Xenopus tropicalis: one gene and its partners. The protein of the gene in region 2 purifies or fractionates together with the protein of the main gene of each other region. This does not show direct contact. Links are inferred from orthologs where the notes say so. Each region holds a gene or a part of one and is shown on either strand. Other genes may lie near its edges. The genes, in order: ss18, smarcc2, dpf2, bcl7c and bcl7b.

Region 1 (4,755 bases), on a different chromosome or scaffold from region 2:
TGATCAGTTAAAAAGCATTCTGTACTACAAAATTAATATACAAGATTAAGGTTAGTGTCAAAATGAGAATGTTAAATAGTGCTTTGGCATCATTTCAACACTTCCAACATCCAGATGCACTTTGTTCACCTTTTGGATGCCAATTAGTTCACCTTCCATTCATGTCACTAGTGGTGACTGGCAAATTCCCTTAGGGTGAAGACACATGGAGCTTCTAGTAGCAGCTACTTTTTCACAGATACTAATCGCCAGAAAATACACTGCCAAAAAAGGGTTAGCTTAGTATACACCCAATGTGCAATAGGCCAAAGAGTCATAATTTATCTACTTAAAAGGAGAAAGAAAGGTAAAAACTAAGTAAGCTTTATCAGAAAGGTCTATGTAAATACAGCCATAAGCACTCAAAGAAATGCTGCACTGACTTCTCTGTCAAAAGATTTCTTGTGTCTGTAATTCATATGCCAGAGACACACAGCTCTCTGCTGTCTCCTCTCTCCTGCTCCCCCCTCCTTCAAGTATGCTAAGAACTCACTCCTCCCTTAAGAATGTGGATCTGAGCCAATCAGCAGGAAGCTCACTCATACTCTTACTAACTGAGCATGTTCACTTGGTCTGGGTGTCTGTGCAGGAGTGAGGCATAATGGGAACTTTCTTTACACAGCTCAGTGTTTTTTCTTCCTGTTTGGCTTCTGATCATCTAACAGGTGAAATATGGGGAGACTTAAGGGCACTATTTAGAGAACTGAATGTATGCCTGCAGCTTGAGATTAACTCTTTATTAGCCTTTCCTTCTCCTTTAAAAATAATGTGCTTTAGAACCAATAAAGAAACCCTGTGCATAAGAACTATTGGCAGCCTTTGATTAGTGATACCAATGAAAGTGACACTGCCATGTTCTTGTGCAATGAAAGACTTAGGTTATGGTGGTCAAAAACACAAGAATGTAACCCACTTATGATTTCCTTAGTTAAAGCATGTTTCCCCTTATGTGTATGGGCAAGGGACAAAGCTAATCTCTTACATGCTGGAGTACTGACCTAACTGCATATCGTTGCTTAATTTTATAGCACCAACAATGCACACTATATTTTACAAAAATAAATGAAAAAGCAAGGTCTCTAGCCTCTCAGAACCTTGTATAGCCATGTCAAGCTCTCAGCAGGAACATACAGGACAACCATAGGAATCATGCGGCAGAAAGGTACATTGTGCTGCACTGAGGGGGGAGACAGCACTGTAGAATTTTTGAAGCTATCCAAAATATTCATAGCCATTTAGCTTTGATAATCTTGAAAAATATGTATATATATATATATATATATATATATATATATATATATATATTTACCCTGTACAGTTAGAAACACAAATGTAACTAAAAATTAACAGTATCATATGAAATGCCAAGCACAAGAATCAGAATATATTTATTTTACATATTTCTCTGTGACAACGACTTCATAGAATATCTACTACATGAAACAGTACTTACAGATATACCTGGAGAACTGTGAAGTGTAGTGGCCTTTAATGGCCTGGGCCTACAGCTAAAAGCCATCATGGCTGCTCACTCAGACACAAACACTGTATAAAGGGGTTCCTGTGCAATAGTGTTATTCCAATATGAGAGTGAAATTTTGTAGGAGTCAATGCAAACAAAGTACCAGTCACAAACAAAAACTCTGGTTCAAAACCAACAGCTATGAACAAGGGAGCCAAAAAACAAAAGTAACCTTTTGCCTACTTAAAATAGAATTTTAGCCAGATTATAAATATTGATAATTTTAAACTGATTTCTTAAAAATAATTACAACTGAATGCAATAACAGCCTGTCCTTTGCTGTTCTTCCCACTTTTACAGCAGCCATACATGGTTGAATCAACACAGTATCCCCCTGATACAAGGGGCCAAACACATTAGGGCAGCCTATTATTCTGTTCAGGACATAACTCCATTTTACTTTTCCTCCTCATCAGCACGTACATCCCGCACCTGCTGATATGCTTGTGTCTCAACCCTTTCTCCTTGTAGATTGTAAGCTCTTTTGGGCAGGGCCCTCTTCACCTCTTGTATCGGTTATTGATTGCTTTATATGTTACTCTGTATGTCCATGTATGTAACCCACTTATTGTACAGCGCTGCGGAATATGTTGGCGCTTTATAAATAAATGTTAATGTAATGTAATATGCTGTATTTGCAGATACATTTCCAAACCTGTCTGACACAAAATGACCAATATCCACAGTACATAAATATCTGTCGGGACCATAAGCCCCCAAATGTACTGAAAAGCATTTCACTACGTGCATGGCCATCTTTACTGCTGGCTCTGATTTCTCATACAATGTTGCAGAAGCTAGATTTCAATTTCAACAATGTCTTGCACTTTTTTTTTTTTCTAAGTCTGTTAATTAGCTGCATCTTCTAATTTGTTTCAGTAGTCGGAACAAACAGTACGGAGACATTGGAGATATTGTGTTCGATAGTATTTGCATCGAAGAATAATGCACTGAAAAACTGTAACAAACGTACATTGAAAAGTTGCTTAGAACAGATTTTAATGATCTTTAATGAACCTCTTTAGGGTGGCTGTTAATCCCCAGTGGCCCAGATACAGTACAGATAAAATGGCTCACCAATTTGGCTCTGCTGACACGTTTATGTGCCTTTTTTTGTCCTTACACCTACAGTGACCTTCCTTGGTAATATAACTGATGATAAAAGCTCCAGATACCTTGTCTATGGTTAAACCCAGGCACATACAATATGTTTGTGGCACTTTGCCATTTATTAATCGATAGCATTTAAGTAGAACAGTAAGGACTCCCCACCCCCGTACACTGCCCCCCAGCCTTAGAAAGCACTACACCAGTGCAGTTGGGGGAATTCCCTCCCGGCAGAAGGGCACGACTAAGCAGTTGCATTGAACGTATTTTTTAATATCGGCGCGGTTACCTTTTGAATGGCCGCAGGAGTGATCTCCCCCTTCCCCCGCTGCCTGGGAGCCGCGAAAGCTACAGACATGATACACGAGCTAAAGAAAACAAAGGGAGCGAAGTGTAGGCACGAAGCGTCTCTAAAGGGAAAGACTGGCGAAATCTGGAACGGACTTCCCACTGCCGCTCTCACACACCGCGAGATTCCAGCAAGCGACTCAACAACATCCTAGGGGGGGGGGGTGCGGAAACAAACAGGCAAGCATTTACTCCATACAGGCAACATATATCTAAGAGGCCCTTAAGGGAAGCTCAGACTTGTGTAACTTCTTAATAATAACAACAACAGAATAATCAACGAAGACATAAAATAAACGCTATAACTTCCCAGTCTACCAATACACCCCTGTAAATACAGAAAGGTCTCGCCCAAAAGTTTATACCATAATCCTTTGCGAAAAGAAAAGCAGGAAATGGACAGTTTCTTCCAAATCGTACGTTGTTAAAAACAATCGAGCGAGGATATCCATGTACCGTTACAGTTGAGGGGTTATGTTAAACGTCTATGTTACCCTTAGTAAATGGCTATCGCTATTTTAAGTACCAGCTAATATAACATTCCCCTCGTTTGAGATAATGGTACGACCCATCGGTCAATTCCATATTACCTATTGGCGGGTATGGCTTGCAAAGAAACTAAGGTGGGCTATAGTTTTCTTATTATAACTCGCAGAACTATAATGATACATGGCGTGTAAACTGAAGCGAAGCGACCCTCACTGAGATACAGGGGTTTTGCCCTTCTCAATGATGAAGAAGAATGAACTTCCCAGAAGTTAGGTATTGACACGTGATGAGCTATAAACACGTGTCTTGCAGTGTTTGGCCCCTTGGAATCAGCGATTGGCTGACTTTCTGCTATAAACAATACCGCGAAGTCGATTTTGAGGGCGGGAGTTGCATTTTCAAAGAAACCCTGAATTTGCTGCAAGTTAGTTACAGCAGCTTTACATACTCTCGTTCAATGTTTAACGTTTGTTTTATAATAAAGTATGTATTAAAGTCTCTTTTCCGTCTTTTTTTTTTTTGTTAATGCGAGGTAGAGAGAGAGAGAGTTGTAAAGATTCGGCACTCACCAGTATGGGGCACAGGCTGGGTGCTGACAGAAATAATGCATCAAACTCAACAGTAGAAAGTTTCAGCATACCATCTACGCGTTTCGATCACCACAGGATCGTCATCAGGATGAAACGCGTAGATGGTATGCTGAAATAAATCACTGACCTGATTGATGCTGTAGCTGTGAGTGCTTTCTACTGTTCAGTTATATATATATATATATATATATATATATATACTTTTTAACTTTTTTATACTTTATCATTTTCTGAATAACATAACACAAATTTTGTACAATGCACAAAGGTAAGAAGTCAGTTTGTGCTGTATATTTTACATTATATCACTGCTGGGACAGAAAATTGGCCACAGCCACCTCATAAGAACGCCAGTGTAGAAATATTGTAACTTAGGTTACCCCAAAGTGCCTCTATCACAGTGCTCTAAGACAAAGTATTATTAGCACTCATTTATAAAGTGTCAACACATTCCACAGTGCTGGACAGCAAAAACACTCGCTCCTAAAAAGATAGAGGCGTAGGGGACTTATCTGATGAGCTAAGTTGTCCCTGGTGAAGAGGGGAGAGTTTAGGGTAGCTCCAGTATGTAATGTAGATCCAGTCTAGGAGCATTTACGTAGTAGGAATGTCCCTAGTGCCAGGCAGAGTCAGAGAGGAGTGTTTGCACATCTGGGAGTG
Region 2 (4,274 bases):
AAATGTCTTCCCCCCCTAATTCCCCTTTTAAATTCTATAAAAAAAAGCCTGGGACATGATGTATAAAATCTCCAACACAAAAAACTCAATTTCACCTGACATACTTTTGTGGCACAACACCCTCTTTAACAACTTTACAACCTTTGAAAATGGAGTGACATGGGCAAGATCAGGGGTCAAACAACTCCATCACTTACTACACGCAGGGTCCCTAAAAACCCGCAAACAACTCCAACAACTACCTGCCCTGACGGACCTGTCGGTGTTCAGTTACATGCAAATGTAACATCTCTTCCACATACAGTTCCAAAGCAATACTCATCCCATACAATACACGGCAGTAGAAAATGTAATCTCTGCCCCGGATAAACTGAAAACTCTCTCCAAAGCATATGCAGCAATCACTGCTTACAAATATGACACCAGACCCAGAGTCAAACTCAAGTGGGAAACAAGTGGCCTCCACCTGGACCCGGATAACTGGGAAGAGGTGGTAGACAATATCTATTCCCCATTAATAAGCACAAGAGACAAATTAATTCAATTCAAAATTACACACCAAACCTACTTAACGCCTAAGAAACTACACCAGATGGGTTGCTTGGAACACTCCTGATGCCTTCGCTGCAATGAACCTGATGCTGATTTTATTCACCTACTTTGGAACTGCCCATACATCCAGAGATTCTGGCAACAAGTCAAGTGCTTCGTAGCAGACAAACTTTCCTTACCTCAAGTTCTAAACCCAATCACATGCCTGTTGGGCCTGGTGGACTCCCTATTACCCAAGACAGCTTCCAGATCCCTTATGAGGGCTCTTTTGTTTTATGCAAAAAAAAAAAACTGTGGCTCTACATTGGATGGGTCCCCTACCTCCTACTTTAAATAAATGGATAAAGCTGATAAACTCTCAACTGGAACTCTACAGGTTAACTTACCTAGCCAGAGGATGCCCACAAAAGTTTGAGAAGATTTGGAACCCATGGCTGGAGTCTCCAGCAACTGCTGTCTAAAATACCATGATACACTCTCCATCTCCTCCCCTCCCCCTTTTTCTTCCTTCCCTCCTTCTATTCATACATAAATATAATTTGACAAAACTCTCTTCTATTCCAACTTTGCATTTTTATGATTGTAGAAATGTGTATGGTTGTAGAAATGGAATGTATCATGTTAAAGAAGTCTTGTGTGTAAGAGAGGAATATTTCCTACCATGGATTTCAGGGGTGCTCCTTTTGGGACAATCTGTGAAAGGCATCAATAAACACAGAAAGAAATAATTACTGACTTTCCAAATATGAAGGGCCTTGTACAGTTCATCTCTATATTAATCTCATAATTAAAACTTAAAAACATGGTTGCCCCTCTGCATAAGGTACTTATGATGTGTATACAAGGCATAACTGCTGCCACAAGCTGACAAAAAATGTTGTCCTCCATATTAACCCACAGGGCTCTCTGAAATGTACATTTCACACTCAGCACCTGACACCAAGGGAAATATAGGGCACCAATGGAAAAGTAACTGGTGATAATTGATAGCTGGCCAATCCAAAATGGATTAATATATATTATGCTATTTTATTTTTAACATACCCCTCTGGCCCAAGGTTTATTTAAATTAAAAGTGAACATGTCAGACAGGAGTCAAGGTAAATTTTGCCTGAAATGAATACAATTTGACACAAGCCAAAAGGTGTCGTATTCAACAGATATATTTTTGTGGCGATTAAGATTTACATGTTCAAATCTGCCATATATTTAATGACTTATTCTTAGATTGCATTACAGAGTGGACAAAAGGCAACTTTCAGTCATTTATTCTCCCTTGCCTGACTAACAACACCAAAGTAACCCAAAGGATCCATAGATAAATAGAACAGCTCAGCAACATTGTCTAACAACATTCAGTCACTTTATTAAAACAGTAAATATATGCAATAATCTAAAACATTTTTCTTTAAACAAAATATAATCACACATGTATGGCATGTGTTATTTGGAAATCCTTTACGCAGCAACTGTGGAAACCAATAATATAAAAGTTGCAACAAAAGTAAATAATTACACCTAGATATTTATAAAATTTCCTTTTGGATATTTATTATAGTCTTTTCTCAAAGTGGGGGCTCAAAGTTAAAGAGATTCATTTAAACGAAAGGGCCTATCAGGGTTTGAAAGAAAATCTTTGCATCCTACTTCCCTGGGCGCCCTGAGGCAAACTTTCCAACGGTGCCGTCCCCACTTGCCCCCAGCATCTACAGCTCAGAGCTTTTGGCAAGCAGAGACTGCTCTCTGCACTAGAAGAGATGAAATTCCAATTTAAAAATCAGAATTTTGACACTAAAAGGTTACCAGAAGCTCAACTTGCCTCATGGCAGCAGCACCCCTGCATTTACCTAACTACTACTATCCCTTTAATAACCCCTCTGCCATCCCCACCAACCTCCATGCTCCACTGCAGACCCCTGTTAATAGGCTGTCGTATTAATTACATTTGTCCTCAACCTATTAGAACTTCCACCTGCCTCAAAGCCAGATGTCAACTTCTAAGGCAGGGATCCCCAACTTTTTTTCCTGTGAGCCACATTTAAATGTAAAAAGAGTTGGGGAGCAACAAAAGCATGAAAAATGTTCCTGGGGTTACAAATAAGGTCTCTGATTGGCAATTTGGTAGCCCCTATGTGGACTGGCAGCCTACAGGAGGCTTTGTTTTGCATTACTCCTGGTTTATATATAACCAAAACTTGGATAAAAGCCAGAAATTCAAAAATAAGCATCTGCTTTGAGGCCACTGGGAGCAATATCCAAAATAAACCCAATGAGCAACAAGTTGCTCACGAGCCACTGGTTGGGGATCACTGGAAGAGGTGCTGCCTACATATCAGTACCAGGGGTCTGTGGGGAAGCAGTAAGCATCTCACTGAAGAGCTTATGTCATAGTGAAAAGTCCCTGATAAATGAGGAACATGTCACTATCATATTGATGCTAAAAAAAATGTGTACAACAAATAATTAAAACTAAATTCTCTTGTGAAAGATGCACCAAGAAAGATTAGGAAGAATTTCTCAATCCTCATAAATCCGCCCTGTGATATTTTAAATTTTGGGGGGAAAAGGCCCTTGCCCTGAACTAACCAAAGAAATTATGTCAGAGTCTCATTAGAGACATGGCTGTCAAAACTCCTGGAAGCAGGATACTTGAAAATCTTCCTGGATTGGGTACAATGTAGGGGTAAAGCCAGAGTGGACCTGGTACATCCCCTTAATTTGTTATTCAAGTGTCCAGCCTCCTGGAGGGTGGAGCTCAACCTCATGCATTCCCCGTGTCCCCCTGAGACAAAGACCGTAGTCCTGAAAAACATACCTAACATTCAGATCCCATATCTGTATCAATATATCTGGGAACCAGAAAAGCAGTCTGAGATTATATATATATATATATATATTGACTTAAGAGTCTAACTCACCTATCCTCTCGTTGTCTTCGCAAGCTGTTCCAGCAATACCACTGCTCTCAAGGCCATAACTAGGATCAGCTTTTCCAGTGATTCTGGCTGCATCCTCGACCTTTCTGACATGAGCTTCCACCAGTGCTGTGGGAACCTCCTCCTTCATCTTGGAAAATTCATCTAATAAATCAGAAACATTACAAAGTCTTTTAAAGGTTATTAATATTCCCAACATTTCTGGGGCACTAGGGGCCAAAATGCCCCTGAATACAGCAAAGACTGTACCAACAAATAAAAATAAAAGTAACAAACCCAAAGCTGATTTTGCTGCAGCTGATGCTACCCGAGGATCTACTACAGATGCAAGGAAGGCTACTGTGCTCATCACAGGATTCCCCGATTGGCTAAAGGGTATGGGCTGATAGGCCAGTGGTCCCAGAGAGGCCTCAGAGTCCTCTAGATATGGATCCTCAATGGGAAGTCGTAAGAAATGCAGGATACACTCGTCCTGTGTGCGGCTCCCCACATGCTCAGATACTTTGTTCCAATCATCTTTATACATTTCCAGAGCCTGTGTTAGGTAGGCATAGGTAATTGGCATACATTTTCAAAATATCTAACTAAATTCTAAGTGCCAAATCATTTATTCAGTGAAGCATATCCAGATTTCACACCTCAAGTAGCAACAGCGTCTCCTGCTCAGTCCATTCGCGTGTTGCACTGGCAGCAGCCTTACTCTGTTCAAGTAAAAAAAAAAAATCCACATATTACTAAACACTAAGTGTAACAAGAAGTATTACCTAAAATTACAAATTTTAAAGA
Region 3 (4,274 bases), on a different chromosome or scaffold from region 2:
CCAATTAAGCATAGCATTAATCTGACCATTAGTGGACCTGGGACATGAGTGAACCCAATTCTGTGCTGACAGGGAATAGTAAGGAATATTCCCACAACAAAGTACAGGCCATTGCAATTTTTGGCACTGGCTGCATGCCAGTTTTTGCTGAAGAGCAAGGCTTATAATGTCATCTGCAACAGGCGGATATGCAATGGAACTAACAATCCTCTAATGTAAACAAGGTAAAATGCATATATAGTACTTGGTAATTAAAGATTTAAAACAAGGCATAAGGTTATCCCAAATGCAAGTTATGCAAAATGAAAGATATAAACAGGAGCTTAATACAGGGAAGTTCATAAACAATTAGCAGCAAGTAATTACTCACGTCATTCTCAGAGGTTCCGCAGATATTACAACATTTGCACTCTATGCACTGCCAGCGATAAGTCTTAACTGCCGCCATCATTACGGGTGTGAACTGCAAACAGGAAGGGTGCCCTGTGTCCACAACATAGTATGTAAGTGAATATTTTGCATACATATGTATCCAATATCTGCGTTCATCCAAAAACTAAAAAATACCATATTTCTGCTGACCTCTGCAACATGTGCATAGCAACCGGCTGTAAATCTCAGCAAGCTAATCTGATATTTCTGACCTGAGGATCAATAACTCAAATCATAGGGGAACTTTAGAAGGCAAGCTGCCAAATGTTGAAGGGAGTTAATTTGCTGTACAATGTTGCTGTATACATTTGTTCTATGGATGTACAAAAAAAAAAAAAAAAAAAAAAAAAGCAAAACAAATGATGGTGCCCCAATCCTGTCCCCCCGCACAGCGCTTAATCTTTAGTGTCGGAGAAGGTAAAGGTGGTGCCACATCACTAGTGCAGAAAAGTGCTATTGCACTCTCTGCACTAGAAGAAAAATAAAAAATTGTAAATTTGGCTTTTTGCTACCACTGTTAACTGGCCGGCAAAGTGGTTTAAAAGTTCATCCCCAACATTCATTTTGAGGTCCACAACCCACTTAGCTTATAGCAAGGTTTCAAATGAACCCGTTTTTCAGTTTTAAGAATATCTAGGGCTGCAAGTAAGTCTTCACTCCTCACTTAACCCTTCAATGGGGATTTCAGGAGTATCTAAAGTGCAAAAAAAAGCTCTCACCCTAATTGGCTTGCTACTCAGAAATTGCCCAACTTCCCCGATCCCCCATGCCCCTCTAAGTGGATGAGGCCCGCAGTTAGCCAAGAACTGCTCTAAATTATTAGCAGAATGCACATTTATATAGCTTCTAAACATATATATGCATCACAATATCCCATTTTAGAATATTTAAATTGAGAATTCCTGAAAAACATTATAGTTCGGAATTCCTATGAGTGTTAGGACAGCCCATTTGGGCCTTCAACTTTTAAATGCAAAAGCTTTCCAGTTAAAAATAAAATCAGATGCATCATGTAGTATTAAGTCTTCATCAAATACTAGAGTCTTCTTTTAACATACCAGAGCGGCCGCAGTCTGAGCAGGACACAAGCTCCTCAGCCTGGTTTGTTTTCTTGTTAATCTTAGAGTCTCCAAGGCAGAAGTCACAATAATTGTTTGGCAGTGCAAGACCATCTGGGCCCTTTTTGGCTGGGAAAAGATAAAAGCATCAAATATGTTGAAAAAGGAGAACAAGAAGGAACAAACTTAAAAAAACTATTTTGAATAACCTAAGTAATGCAATCCTAAGCAATTTTTGATATATACTTTTAATGATATGAAATGTATTTGTAATTGCTATTGAATTATTTGTAATTAATGAATTTGTAATCGCTTTTGAAAGCAACACCTAAAACAATGGTGCCCTAATCTACGCTACCATGGGCGACTAATCTCCCCAAAATGCTTTCCCACTAACAGTAAAGTGAATTGCCGGTTGGAAAGCATACATGGTGCTTCGTTTTCTGAAGTTGCCCAAACATTTCCTCTGCATTCTGTGTAGATGCCTAAACTTACATTTTTGTTCCTCTGGTCTCTGCATGATAGGAGTGGGAGGCTGAGAATCCTCCTTATCTTCTGCCCCGGCACCTTCTTCATCCACAAGGTGTGAGTGGGCATAATGATAGCTCAAACCAGGCCTGTTTTTATAGCGTTTTCCACAGACTGGGGGGAAAAAGCAGGACAGCAGAAAATGAAGAGTAGAAAGAAGTAATAAAGCATTAGTGCAATGATAAACATTAAAAAGAGTCAGGTGAAAAATCACTACCCCACCAAAACAGGAGGATGTATAACAAAGCAAAGCCACAAGGGAAACTGGGTGGCAGGAAAGGATAGTTTGCAGGTGTTTTACATTGGGGACAGATGTTACTGTTACAGTAAAAAAAGGTCATGTTTTCACAAAGAACTTAGAATGTATTTAGTAATTCAGCAATAATTTTGCAATATCAACCACTTTTTTGTGCCATAAGCTAAAAGACACCTACATAACTCAATATGCTTTATAAGGTGAAAGTAGAAAACATCATGTACCACACAGGAGTACCAACACAATACTGCCAGATGTAAAAAAAAAAATAAAGTTATTCTTTTATTGGAGGTACAGGTCCAACAGGCAGATCAAAGATCAAAAATGATTTTCAGTTTTTGAGATGATATTTTAAAGATGCCAGCTAGGATGGCACTGGAATGTCTGTGTGGTTGGTATTCAAAATCTAAAAGTGCACCTCCAAGTAAACCTCCCTGGACTTCAGTCTTCATGCTACAGCTTTTGGTTTAGGTATTTTAAATTCCTGTGGCTGAATATTTAGAAGCAGTTTGCCTCCAGGCCAGACTTTTACCAGCATAACTATAAAAACCTTAAACTTCTGCTTTGGGGTAGCCTGCTTTTAAAGTGAGAAAAAAAGCAAACAATGTTATTGAATTACGAAGCAGATAAATACCTCTGCACTTCTGATCTGGCAACAGAAACATGTGTTACACAAGGAGTAAGGAAGAGCACACAGACAGACAGAGACTAATCAGTCAGGCATGTTACATTGCCCCAGAACTTTGAGCCTGCTTGTTGCACAACATCCTGACCTGGGCACATACCTTACCAATTTAAGGTAAAAGGTTGTCCCAGATCCGGAGTAAGACCCCGATTTACATATATGGATGAAACAGTACCCTGAAATATATGTTTGTGTGACCCTATGGGTCCATTTCTTGATAGGTTTGTTTCTGCTACCTATTTTAATGATGCCTTAAGTCCCTTTAGAACAGAAATTATACGGAATTCTTAAGGTGGCCATATACTAATATTTGCTGGTAATGACCACTGAGCCTGTGGGCCAAAGGACGGATATTGTATTGTATCCATAAAAAGTGCATCCACCTTTCTACCATCTCAAATGACAGAAATCAAAAACAGTAGGAGCCGTGGCCAGTTGGGGGTGGGTGGGGGTCCTGAGATTAAATCCAGCAAAACCCATATATCTCTAGTTATGCCACTGGCTATGGCTTTACCTTCCCTTTGACAAACCAACCTATAAAAACTGATAAAGGATATCAGCCAGAAGTATTTGACAAACATATTTGAACTGAAGATAGGATGAAAAGCTTATCAGTATGTTTATGGCCAGCTTTAGAGGAGCATCTTCATGGAACATAACCTCCATTCCCAACACCCTTAAAGGAGAACTAAACCCTAAAGATGAATATGGCTATTTTATACTTTTTTTTTTTTTTTACTAAACTGACTGTACTAGCTTCAAGTTTTAGTATCTCTACAGTAGTATATAGTAGTATAGTAGTATATAGGTCTTTACAGTTGCCACAGGAGCTTCCCATCTTGGATTCTGTTAGAACTGTCCTGGACAGTGCACACGATCAGTGTTTTCTTGGCAGCTACTGAAAAGCTAAGCTTAGGGGTTGTCGCAAATGATCAAACTGAAAATGAGGCTGGCCTGTCAAACTGATGCTACAGGTCTAATTATAAAATTCTGATGCAAACTGCACTGGTCCCAGAGCTGCCATATAATGAGAATCTGAATTACTAATCAGCATTATACGGTTACATTTATATTCTATATTATTCTAAATTATCTGCCTGATGAGAAGCCAATGTGCCAAGAGAGAGAAAAAAAACAATACAGCTGTGTGATGGCAGATGAGCACAGGCTTACAGAACCCACTGTGGGAAATGGCATGGGTAAAAGGAAACATGCTAAGCTGCAGTGCAAGGGGGTGGGGCAGTGAGCAAGATGCTAATTTAGCAGTATAAGCGAGCACGTAGAACTACCTCTTTCGGAGAATTTCGAAGTTTGC
Region 4 (4,741 bases), on a different chromosome or scaffold from region 2:
GGGATCATTTGGGTGGGACAGAGATATTAGCAGGGGGTTTATAGTAAGGAGAAATGTGCTCTGCAGGTTTTCAGCAAGGAATAAGGTGGTCTCTAAGTTTATTGCAAGTAATTAGATGTTCTGCAGGGAGGTTTATACCAAGGACTGAGATGTTCTGGGGGAGTATAGTAGGGACTGAGATGTTCTGGAGGTGTATAGAAGGAATTGAGATGTTCTGGGGGTGTATAGTAGGGACTGAGATGTTCTGGGGGAGTATAGTAGGGACTGAGATGTTCTGGAGGTGTATAGAAGGAATTGAGATGTTCTGGGGCAGTATAGTAGGGACTGAGATGTTCTGGGGGAGTATAGTAGGGACTGAGATGTTCTGGAGGTGTATAGAAGGAATTGAGATGTTCTGGGGGTGTATAGTAGGGACTGAGATGTTCTGGGGGAGTATAGTAGGGACTGAGATGTTCTGGGGGAGTATAGTAGGGACTGGGATGTTCTGGAGGTGTATAGAAGCAATTGAGATGTTCTGGGGGTGTATAGTAGGGACTGAGATGTTCTGGAGGTGTATAGAAGGAATTATGATGTTCTGGGGTTGTATAGTAGGGACTGAGATGTTCTGGGGGTGTATAGAAGGAATTGAGATGTTGTGGGGGAGTATAGCAGGGACTGAGATGTTCTGGAGGTGTATAGAAGGAATTGAGATGTTCTAGGGGAGTATAGTAGGGACTGAGACGTTCTGGAGGTGTATAGAAAGAATTGAGATGTTCTAGGGGAGTATAGAAGGAATTGAGATGTTCTGGGGGAGTATAGTAGGGACTGAGATGTTCTGGAGGTGTATAGAAGGAATTAAGATGTTCTGGGGGTTTATAAAAGGGACTAAGATGTTGTGGGGTAAAAAGAATGAACTGAAAAGTTATGGCGCTTTATAGCAGGGACTTATATGTTCTTAAGGCATATAGAAGGGGCCAAGATGTTCTGGAGGTATAGAGAAGAGACATATATGTTCTAGAGGTATATAGAATGGATTGAGGTGTTCTGGAGGTGCATAGAAGGAACTGAGAAGTCTTGGGAGTTTATACCAGAGGCTGATATGTTCTTAAGGTTTATAGATATTCTAGAGGTGTATAGAAGGAACCGGGAAGTCCTGGGGGTTTATAGCACTGGCTGATATGTTCTTTAGGTGTGTAGAAGGGACTGAGATATTCTAGAGGTGTATAGAAGGGACTGGGAAGTTTTAGAGGTAAATAGAAAGGACTGGGTTGTTTGGAGGAGTATAGAAAGGATAACTAAGGTGTTCTGGAGGTGCGTAGCAAGGACTGAGATGTGGGAGGTGAAGGGATTGAGAAGTTCTGGTGGTGTATAGTGGAGGTGTTTTGGAGGTTGGAAAAGAGAAATTAGCTTGGCAGGTTAGAAGTGGAGAGGGAGATGCTCTGCAGATTAGAAACAGTCAGTCAGATGTTCTGTTAGAGGGGAGTGAGATGCTCTGCAGGTTGGAAAGGAAGATGCCCAGCTTGGCCGGTAGAGCGGCACAGATGATGAGTAGAACCCAATGCCGATGAGAAGAGCGGAAGCGAATCCCTCGCTCAATGCACAAAGCAAGACAAAGACTCACCTCGTCCCTGGGATCCACAATTGGCACCCACTTATATATCCGGAGCGAGGTGTCTCCCACTGTCACCCAACGCTTCTCCCTGTGGGACAGGCACTGACATTACTGAGCTTACTGGTCACTGGCTCCCCCTGCCCCACAGCACCGTCATGCCCATACAGTGATGTTCCCCACCGCCGGGTGGCTCCGCCCTCCCAAGGCCCCTCTCTGTACCTACCCTGTGATGCCTACCCGCCAACCAGCTTGCTCCACCCTGATCTAGTACATGCCTTTGTACCTACCCTGTGATGCCTACCCACCAACCAGCTTGCTCCACCCTGATCTAGTACATGTCTTTGTACCTACCCTGTGATGCCTACCCACCAACCAGCTTGCTCCACCCTGATCTAGTACATGCCTTTGTACCTACCCTGTGATGCCTACCCACCAACCAGCTTGCTCCACCCTGATCTAGTACATGCCTTTGTACCTACCCTGTGATGCCTACCCACCAACCAGCTTGCTCCACCCTGATCTAGTACATGTCTTTGTACCTAACCTGTGATGCCTACCCACCAACCAGCTTGCTCCACCCTGATCTAGTACATGTCTTTGTACCTACCCTGTGATGCCTACCCACCAACCAGCTTGCTCCACCCTGATCTAGTACATGCCTTTGTACCTACCCTGTGATGCCTACCCACCAACCAGCTTGCTCCACCCTGATCTAGTACATGCCTTTGTACCTACCCTGTGATGCCTACCGGCCAATCTAGCACACACAGACTGTAGGCACAAATCTCACTGCTGTACAAGTGCATGAACCCCTTTTTGCCCACTAACCCCGTGTATCAGCCCCCCCTCTCCCCACTGACCAATCCCCACAGCACATGACCCACTGGGCAACTGGATCACAAAGAAAAAGGGGCTGTGGCTGCCCAGGGGTTAGTAGCCCACTCTTCTGCCTCCCACCCACCCCACACCTGGGGCAGAACCACTAGCTGCCATACCAGCGCCTCACGTGCTCTATGACTGCCATGACTCTCTTGATGTCATCTCTCGCCCGGCTCCTGGTCTCTGCCCGGCCTGTCCTGTTGGCCATGTCTGGGGCCCAGCAGTCTCTCTCTCTCTCTCTCTCTCTCTCTCTCTGGCCTGTAATATCTTCAGCTTTTTTTCATTTCTTCCTTGTCTTCTTTCTTTCTGGGGGTCTCCTCCTTCGTTTGCTCTCTCCCTCTTGCCGTGCAGTCTCTCCCCCTTGCTGTGAGGTCTCTACCCCTTGCTATGCAGTCTCTCCCCCTTGCTGTGAGGTCTCTCCCCCTTGCTGCGCGGTCTCTCCCCCTTGCTGTGCAGTCTCTCCCCCTTCCTGTGCAGTCTCTCCCCCTTGCTCTGCAGTCTCTTCTCCTTGCTCTGCAGTCTCTCCCCCTTGCTGTGCAGTGTCTCCCCCTTGCTCTGCAGTCTCTCCCCCTTGCTGTGCAGTCTCTCCTCCTTGCTGTGCAGTCTCTCCCCCTTGCTGTGCAGTCTCTCCCCCTTGCCGTGCGGTCTCTCCCCCTTGCCGTGCGGTCTCTCCCCCTTGCCGTGCAGTCTCTCCCCCTTGCCGTGCAGTCTCTCCCCCTTGCCGTGCAGTCTCTCTCCCTTGCTCTGCAGTCTCTCCCCCTTGCTGTGCAGTCTCTCTCCCTTGCTCTGCAGTCTCTCCCCCTTGCTCTGCAGTCTCTCCCCCTTGCTCTGCAGTCTCTCCCCCTTGCTGTACAGTCTCTCCCCCTTGCTGTGCAGTCTCTCCCCCTTGCTGAATCCCTTTCACTTTTGTGCCTGTCACTTTTCTGAGTGTTCCTGTCTCCGGATATCCAACTGTCACACAGCCCATGTCCCTGGGAGCTCTCTGCTGCCCCCTGGTGTCCCAGGGAAACTTCTGTAACTCACACCCCCTTCCAGGAAACTCTCCCCCCTCCATTGTGATCCAGTTGTAAACACTCCCACCCACCCCTGTCCCAGCACCCACATGGCTCATTCCCTCTGGGCCCCACTGGGTTTGTGCCCCTTATTCCTTACAGGGAGCAAAACATATTCCCTGCTCAGGGCACAGGGGGCCTCCGGGAGTTGCTGAACTACAACTCCCATAACCCTTTACAGAAATTCCGTTTAGCAAGAGCTGTACAGGTGCCCAGAAGGGCCTTATCATTAGAATCCCAGGCCATGCGTTTGCCTTGCACAGTTTAAAGGGAAAGTTCACTTACAGTTAATGTTTATTGTGTCTGTATGTGGCCATTACCATTCCCCCCGGGGAGGGCCGGGTGCTGTTATACAGGGACAGTAAGTACAGAGGTAGAAATACAATATTAGTTGTAGCTCGTTAGCACAGAGATATAACGAGGCTGGGGGGTTATAATAGGGATGGAAATAGACCCAGACACAGGAAGCCTGGGGGGCCCAGATGCCCATTAGCAAATGACAAGGCAGGAAGGGGGCGGCCATATTTACTGTGCATTATAATGATCCTGGGGGGGCCTTTACTGGAAACAAGGGTCAGTTTTCCCATAATGCTCCTTCTGTGTGGTGCAAATTTCCCTTTTGTAATGGAGACTCCCAGGTATCTGGGCTGGGCCAGTAACAGGTACGGGTGGTTCTTGGGGGGCTGTCAGGTTTGGGCCATAGTCTGGGCATTATTTGGGGAAGCCAAATACAACAGGTAATGTAGGGTTAATAACTGTACTGGGGCCCAAATGCACCCAAACGGGTCAGTACCACATTAGCAGCCCCGGAATATACAGTGCAAGCATTGCTAGCGGGGGCTACAGAGAGACCCCCAGAGGGAGTAGAGAGAGAGACCCCCAGAGGGAGAGAGAGACCCAGAGGGAGAGACCCCAGAGGGATTAGAGAGAGAGACCCCCAGAGGGAGAGAGAGACCCCAGAGGAAGTAGAGAGAGAGACCCCAGAGGGAGAGACCCCAGAGGGAGAGAGAGACCCCCATAGGGAGAGACCCCAGAGGGAGAGACCCCAAAGGGAGTAGAGAGAGAAACCTCCAGAGGGAGAGACCCCAGAGGGAGAGAGAGACCCCAGAGGGAGAGACCCCAGAGGGAGAGAGAGACCCCCAGAGGGAGAGACCCCAGAGGGAGAGACCCCAGAGGGAGAGACCCCAGAGGGAGAGAGAGACCCCCATAGGGAGAGACC
Region 5 (4,274 bases), about 110 Mb from region 2:
TCCATATAACATATTCATGCATAAGACCAATATACAATTTTTCAAATAGCTTCATTTTTAAAAAATATTCTTTGTGTGGTAAAATACATCCAAACTAAAAAGCTTCCTCTGCAGTTGTTTTGATTCAAAAGATATTTTTTTACGATCAAAGAAGTCTAAGCATAGTATAGGCAGAGAAAAGTAATCTTAAGTTAAGCAATGGAGTAAGGTAGGTTTCTGGGTATTTTCAGCAAATGTGTTCAAAATGTGCTATTGGGCAGAGGCTACCTCCTAGCCAAATGATGATCAGGACATTTGAAAGTCCCAGGTTCAAATGGTGACAAGACCCTCAGACAGTCCCAGGTTTGGTCTGTAAGGAGACTCTCAAACAGTCCCTGTTTGGACAGTGATAAGATAGTCAGACAGTCCCAGTGATTGATGTCTATGAGGCCTTTGGGCAGTAAGGAGATCAGACCTTTCTGGGCTTTCGCAGTGATTAGACCATCCGACAGTCCCAGGTTCACCAGTGATGAAACCATTAGCTTGTCTTGGGATTGGGTGGTCATGAGCTAAAGTGCCAGGTTTTGGTAAGGAAGAGTCCTCGAGAAAGTCCTCTGTTAGGTGGTGGCCGCCTTCTACGAAATGATGAGCAGGCCCTTGGATAGTCTCAGCCAGGTTCAGATGGTGACAAGACTTTCAAATAGTCCCAAATTTGGTTTGTAATTTGGCTCTCAGACAATCCCAATTCAGACAGTGATGAGACAATCAGACAGTCTGAATCATTGATGTCTATGTGACCATCATACTTTTCTAGGTTTGAGCAGTGATGAGACCACAAGTCTGGGCATTAAGGAGACTATGAAACAATCTTAGGTTTGGGATGTGATGTGACCATCTGCCAATCCTGGGAGAGTCACTTAGAAGGTTCTTTTCTGTAGCAGTAATTTGTCCACAATAGGTCTCAGATATGGGGCCAGGTGAAAGGGTAACACGACAAATGGGACTAAAACGATTGGTAAAACTTTGATAAAAATAATAGATAATACGAATTCTATCTATACTTCAGGTTGTGGGATAACATCACCTGGAGAGCTTGGCATAATAGAGTTTGTGGCAGACTCTACAGAAACAAAGCAACAAGCTTCATGTCTCTAATGTGCTACGACAGTCTAGGAAATGTCTGTTATGCTGAAGATCTAGATTGGCAGAAGGAAGCATGTTTCTTGGCACAATCATTCGCAGACCTGCCATGATATTACAGAAGAGTGCTAAGGTTCTGGCAAAAGAATATACGCAAAGGCTTGTGCACTTATGAGGTTGTGTGATCACCCCTCATGTGAAAAGGTGCATTTTCACATAATTGCACAATTTCCAGCCTCAAGTGCAATCTTTCTCATCTAGAGATCTCCGAAGGCTGTAGCAGGAAGAGTAGGTGTGATGTGTAACTGGAACTAGCCTTCCAAAATGGCAGGAGCCTGAGAGGGCCCCTCTGTGCATACTCTCTTAAGAGGCGGTGCTCCAGATTCATCTAATCCCCCTGCCTGAAATTAAAGAAAATATATGTTAGTAGATTAAAAGTCAGTTGTGCTCATTTCCTAACATGGAGTAAACTGCAGTAACCCATAACAAAAACTACGCAGAATATAAAATACTAATTAACATGGTGCAGTTTAAAAGTAAACAGCTCTTAAATCCTTCACAAAAGATGTGGATAAACCACAAACCAAATCCATCCATAATAAAATCTGATCAGAATCACTAAAAATACATAAGCAGGGAGTAATTAAAAAACACCTACTTTCATCTAAGGATCTAAAATCACATGGGCAGAGGGGCACTTTAAATGCCATGCAAATTAACCGAAAACCAGGGGGCCATAGGCTTTGATGCAGCCTGCAATAGGCTTTAAAGCAGTGGGCATTAATTATTTTTCAAGCATGGGGGCCAGGGGGGGGGTCAACCGTTGCACTGCTGGCACACACCGTAATGGCCACAACCCCCCTGCCCCCCCATCCCCCATTAACACCTATGTTTTAAAGGACAAAGAAAGTGTAAATAGTACGTGTGTGGCATCTTGTATCTCAATGCTCAAGGTGCTGACTGCATTCTACTCTTCTGAAAAATACTTTTGCACCTGCAAGTCAAAGGCTGATGTAACTGTCAGTCCTAGTTTATGTACTATTTAAGAAAAAAAACAAAAAAAAACACCCAAAGCACCTGCCATTGCCTTAAGGCAGAGGTCCTCACACTACGGTCCGGGGCCACATCCGGCCCCCCAGGGTAATTTACCTGGCCCCCCTCTGCGTCCTCACCCCTGGAATCGGAGAGAGAGGAGTCAGTGGGGAGCGGGACGAATGGACGGAAGACTGTGGAAGCTGGAAGAGGTAGGACTAAGCGGGAGGGTGGACAGACTGTTGGACAGTCGGACAGAGCGTGCACAGGGGGGAGGGGCAGTTTGGTGGGTAGGTTGGTGGGTGGTGCTGGAAGAGAATGCAAGAGCGGGGGAGTGGGCCATAGTTTGACTACGGGGAGGGAGGTGGTGATGGCAGTCCGGTCGTCCAACTGTCTGAGGCCATGAACTGGCCCCTTGCCTGAGGGGCTAAGTTTGAGGACCCCTGCCTTAAGGGTATGATGATGGAGAGGTCAACCCTCTGAATTGGAAATGTTGGGTGCTTATTCAGAAGACTACCACTATACCTCAACTGGCATGACCTTGTATCCTTCCCACTGAATATGTTAGTCTCTTTTTATCTATTATTTGTACCTGTGCAGTGGATAGAGATGGCTCCTCCTTGGTGAGAGTTGGGGGTTCATCAGCCACTTCTTTGTGAGGCATGGAGGGTTCTGGAGAAATAAATGCAGACTGTACAATTACTGCACCTACTGAACATCTTCTAGAAGCCTAATTAGTAGTAAAACACTTTGGTAATGTATCTTTCCTGTGTATATGGGCATTAACAATGAACAAATAAGGCACCAATAAATAACCAAAAAGGTACCCTTGCGCACTGCAAACCTTAGTAAACATAAGCTAAAACCTGGAAAAATACCCATGCCATAAAATTGTATTTACCCATGTTATGTTAAAGAACACACAGCAGACTAGGATGGGATTTATTTAGGTAAGAAATAAAATATACCATAAACTACTTCAAGTGCAGATATGGGACCTGTTATCCAGAATGCTGGGGACCTGTGCTTTTCTGGATAAGACACCTTTTTGTAATTTGGATCTCCATTCCTAAAGTCTATTAAAAATTTAAAATTAACCCAATAGGATCATTTTGCCTCCAACAGGGATTAATTATATCTTACTGGGGATCAAGTACAAGCTACTGTTTTATTATTACTTAGATGGCATTCCTGTAATTCTGAACAGGTTGATGGTATACCTGCACAACTTTTGTACATGAACAAAACATAAATAATTGGCATGTATAGTCCATAGTACTGATTATGTTAGACTAGTCCTTTAAACTCCTCCTACTGACCTTCTAGACTCTCTTGACCCAATGTAGGGGGCTGAGAGTCTAAGGTATGAACAGGACTTGGGGAGACACTACGTGGAGGGCTGGGGCTGGAAGTGCTGCTTTCCACCTTTGGCTGGTAGACATCAGATAATGAACTTTGGTTACTGGTCTCATCTAAGGGAAGAAAAAGTGGAAAGCAAAAAATAACCGGTGAACAAAAAAGCAATTGTGTCATACTGCACTAGATCAGACAATAATACATAAACTCCTGCAACATAAATGGCCCTGAAAGGGTTATAAATGTAATGAGTATAAAGAATCATGCACTTGGTTAAGTCACTAGCATGAGAAACGATTCGCTTCTGGTTTTCTTATGGAAAGATTAACTACATAAACCCTGTTCAATGTTACATAGTTACATAGTTACATACATAGGGTTGAAAAAAGACCAGAGTCCATCAAGTTCAACCCATCCAAGTAAACCCAGCACACACAACCCACACCTACCAATCTATACACTCACATACATAAACTATATATACAACCACTAATACTAACTGTAGATATTAGTATCACAATAGCCTTGGATATTCTGATTGTTCAAGAACTCATCCAGGCCTCTGTTAAAGGCATTAACAGAATCTGCCATTACCACATCTCTAGGAAGGGCATTCCACAACCTCACTGCCCTCACCGTGAAAAACCACCTACGCTGCTTCAAATGCTAGGAATAAAAAAACCGCCTGCCTAAAGGCCATGGATTGCCTGGCGATTAGTCGCCTGTGCTACCATGGGCAAATAATCTTCCCTCCTGCAGGTTGCTGC

The links.
Region 1: the proteins of smarcc2 (region 2) and ss18 purify together in Homo sapiens (affinity purification with mass spectrometry; 3 studies listed by BioGRID and IntAct, counting the BioPlex papers as one, with this or other methods). This does not show direct contact. The link is inferred for Xenopus tropicalis from reciprocal best matches to the Homo sapiens genes SMARCC2 and SS18.
Region 3: the proteins of smarcc2 (region 2) and dpf2 purify together in Homo sapiens (affinity purification with mass spectrometry; 8 studies listed by BioGRID and IntAct, counting the BioPlex papers as one, with this or other methods). This does not show direct contact. The link is inferred for Xenopus tropicalis from reciprocal best matches to the Homo sapiens genes SMARCC2 and DPF2.
Region 4: the proteins of smarcc2 (region 2) and bcl7c purify together in Homo sapiens (affinity purification with mass spectrometry; 4 studies listed by BioGRID and IntAct, counting the BioPlex papers as one, with this or other methods). This does not show direct contact. The link is inferred for Xenopus tropicalis from reciprocal best matches to the Homo sapiens genes SMARCC2 and BCL7C.
Region 5: the proteins of smarcc2 (region 2) and bcl7b purify together in Homo sapiens (affinity purification with mass spectrometry; 3 studies listed by BioGRID and IntAct, counting the BioPlex papers as one, with this or other methods). This does not show direct contact. The link is inferred for Xenopus tropicalis from reciprocal best matches to the Homo sapiens genes SMARCC2 and BCL7B.

The regions. Positions count from the first base shown.
Region 1 is NC_030682.2:110,346,825-110,351,579, forward strand, and holds the start of ss18 (protein SSXT), read right to left. Parts: upstream 3,027-4,755; coding exon 2,958-3,026; intron 1-2,957. UniProt on the Homo sapiens protein: Appears to function synergistically with RBM14 as a transcriptional coactivator. Isoform 1 and isoform 2 function in nuclear receptor coactivation. Isoform 1 and isoform 2 function in general transcriptional coactivation.
Region 2 is NC_030678.2:137,498,531-137,502,804, reverse strand, and holds part of smarcc2 (SWI/SNF complex subunit SMARCC2), read right to left. Parts: intron 4,190-4,274; coding exon 4,127-4,189; intron 4,024-4,126; coding exon 3,765-4,023; intron 3,633-3,764; coding exon 3,471-3,632; intron 1,246-3,470; coding exon 1,213-1,245; intron 1-1,212. UniProt on the Homo sapiens protein: Involved in transcriptional activation and repression of select genes by chromatin remodeling (alteration of DNA-nucleosome topology).
Region 3 is NC_030680.2:32,327,312-32,331,585, forward strand, and holds part of dpf2 (zinc finger protein ubi-d4), read right to left. Parts: coding exon of another isoform or gene 4,249-4,274; intron 2,133-4,248; coding exon 1,986-2,132; intron 1,620-1,985; coding exon 1,491-1,619; intron 484-1,490; coding exon 371-483; intron 1-370. UniProt on the Homo sapiens protein: Plays an active role in transcriptional regulation by binding modified histones H3 and H4. Is a negative regulator of myeloid differentiation of hematopoietic progenitor cells. Might also have a role in the development and maturation of lymphoid cells.
Region 4 is NC_030685.2:5,708,683-5,713,423, forward strand, and holds the start of bcl7c (B-cell CLL/lymphoma 7 protein family member C), read right to left. Parts: upstream 3,371-4,741; 5' UTR 3,146-3,370; intron 2,831-3,145; 5' UTR 2,679-2,830; coding exon 2,587-2,678; intron 1,680-2,586; coding exon 1,601-1,679; intron 1-1,600. UniProt on the Homo sapiens protein: May play an anti-apoptotic role.
Region 5 is NC_030678.2:30,751,409-30,755,682, forward strand, and holds the end of bcl7b (B-cell CLL/lymphoma 7 protein family member B), read right to left. Parts: intron 3,624-4,274; coding exon 3,471-3,623; intron 2,824-3,470; coding exon 2,744-2,823; intron 1,521-2,743; coding exon 1,431-1,520; 3' UTR 118-1,430; downstream 1-117. UniProt on the Homo sapiens protein: Positive regulator of apoptosis. Plays a role in the Wnt signaling pathway, negatively regulating the expression of Wnt signaling components CTNNB1 and HMGA1.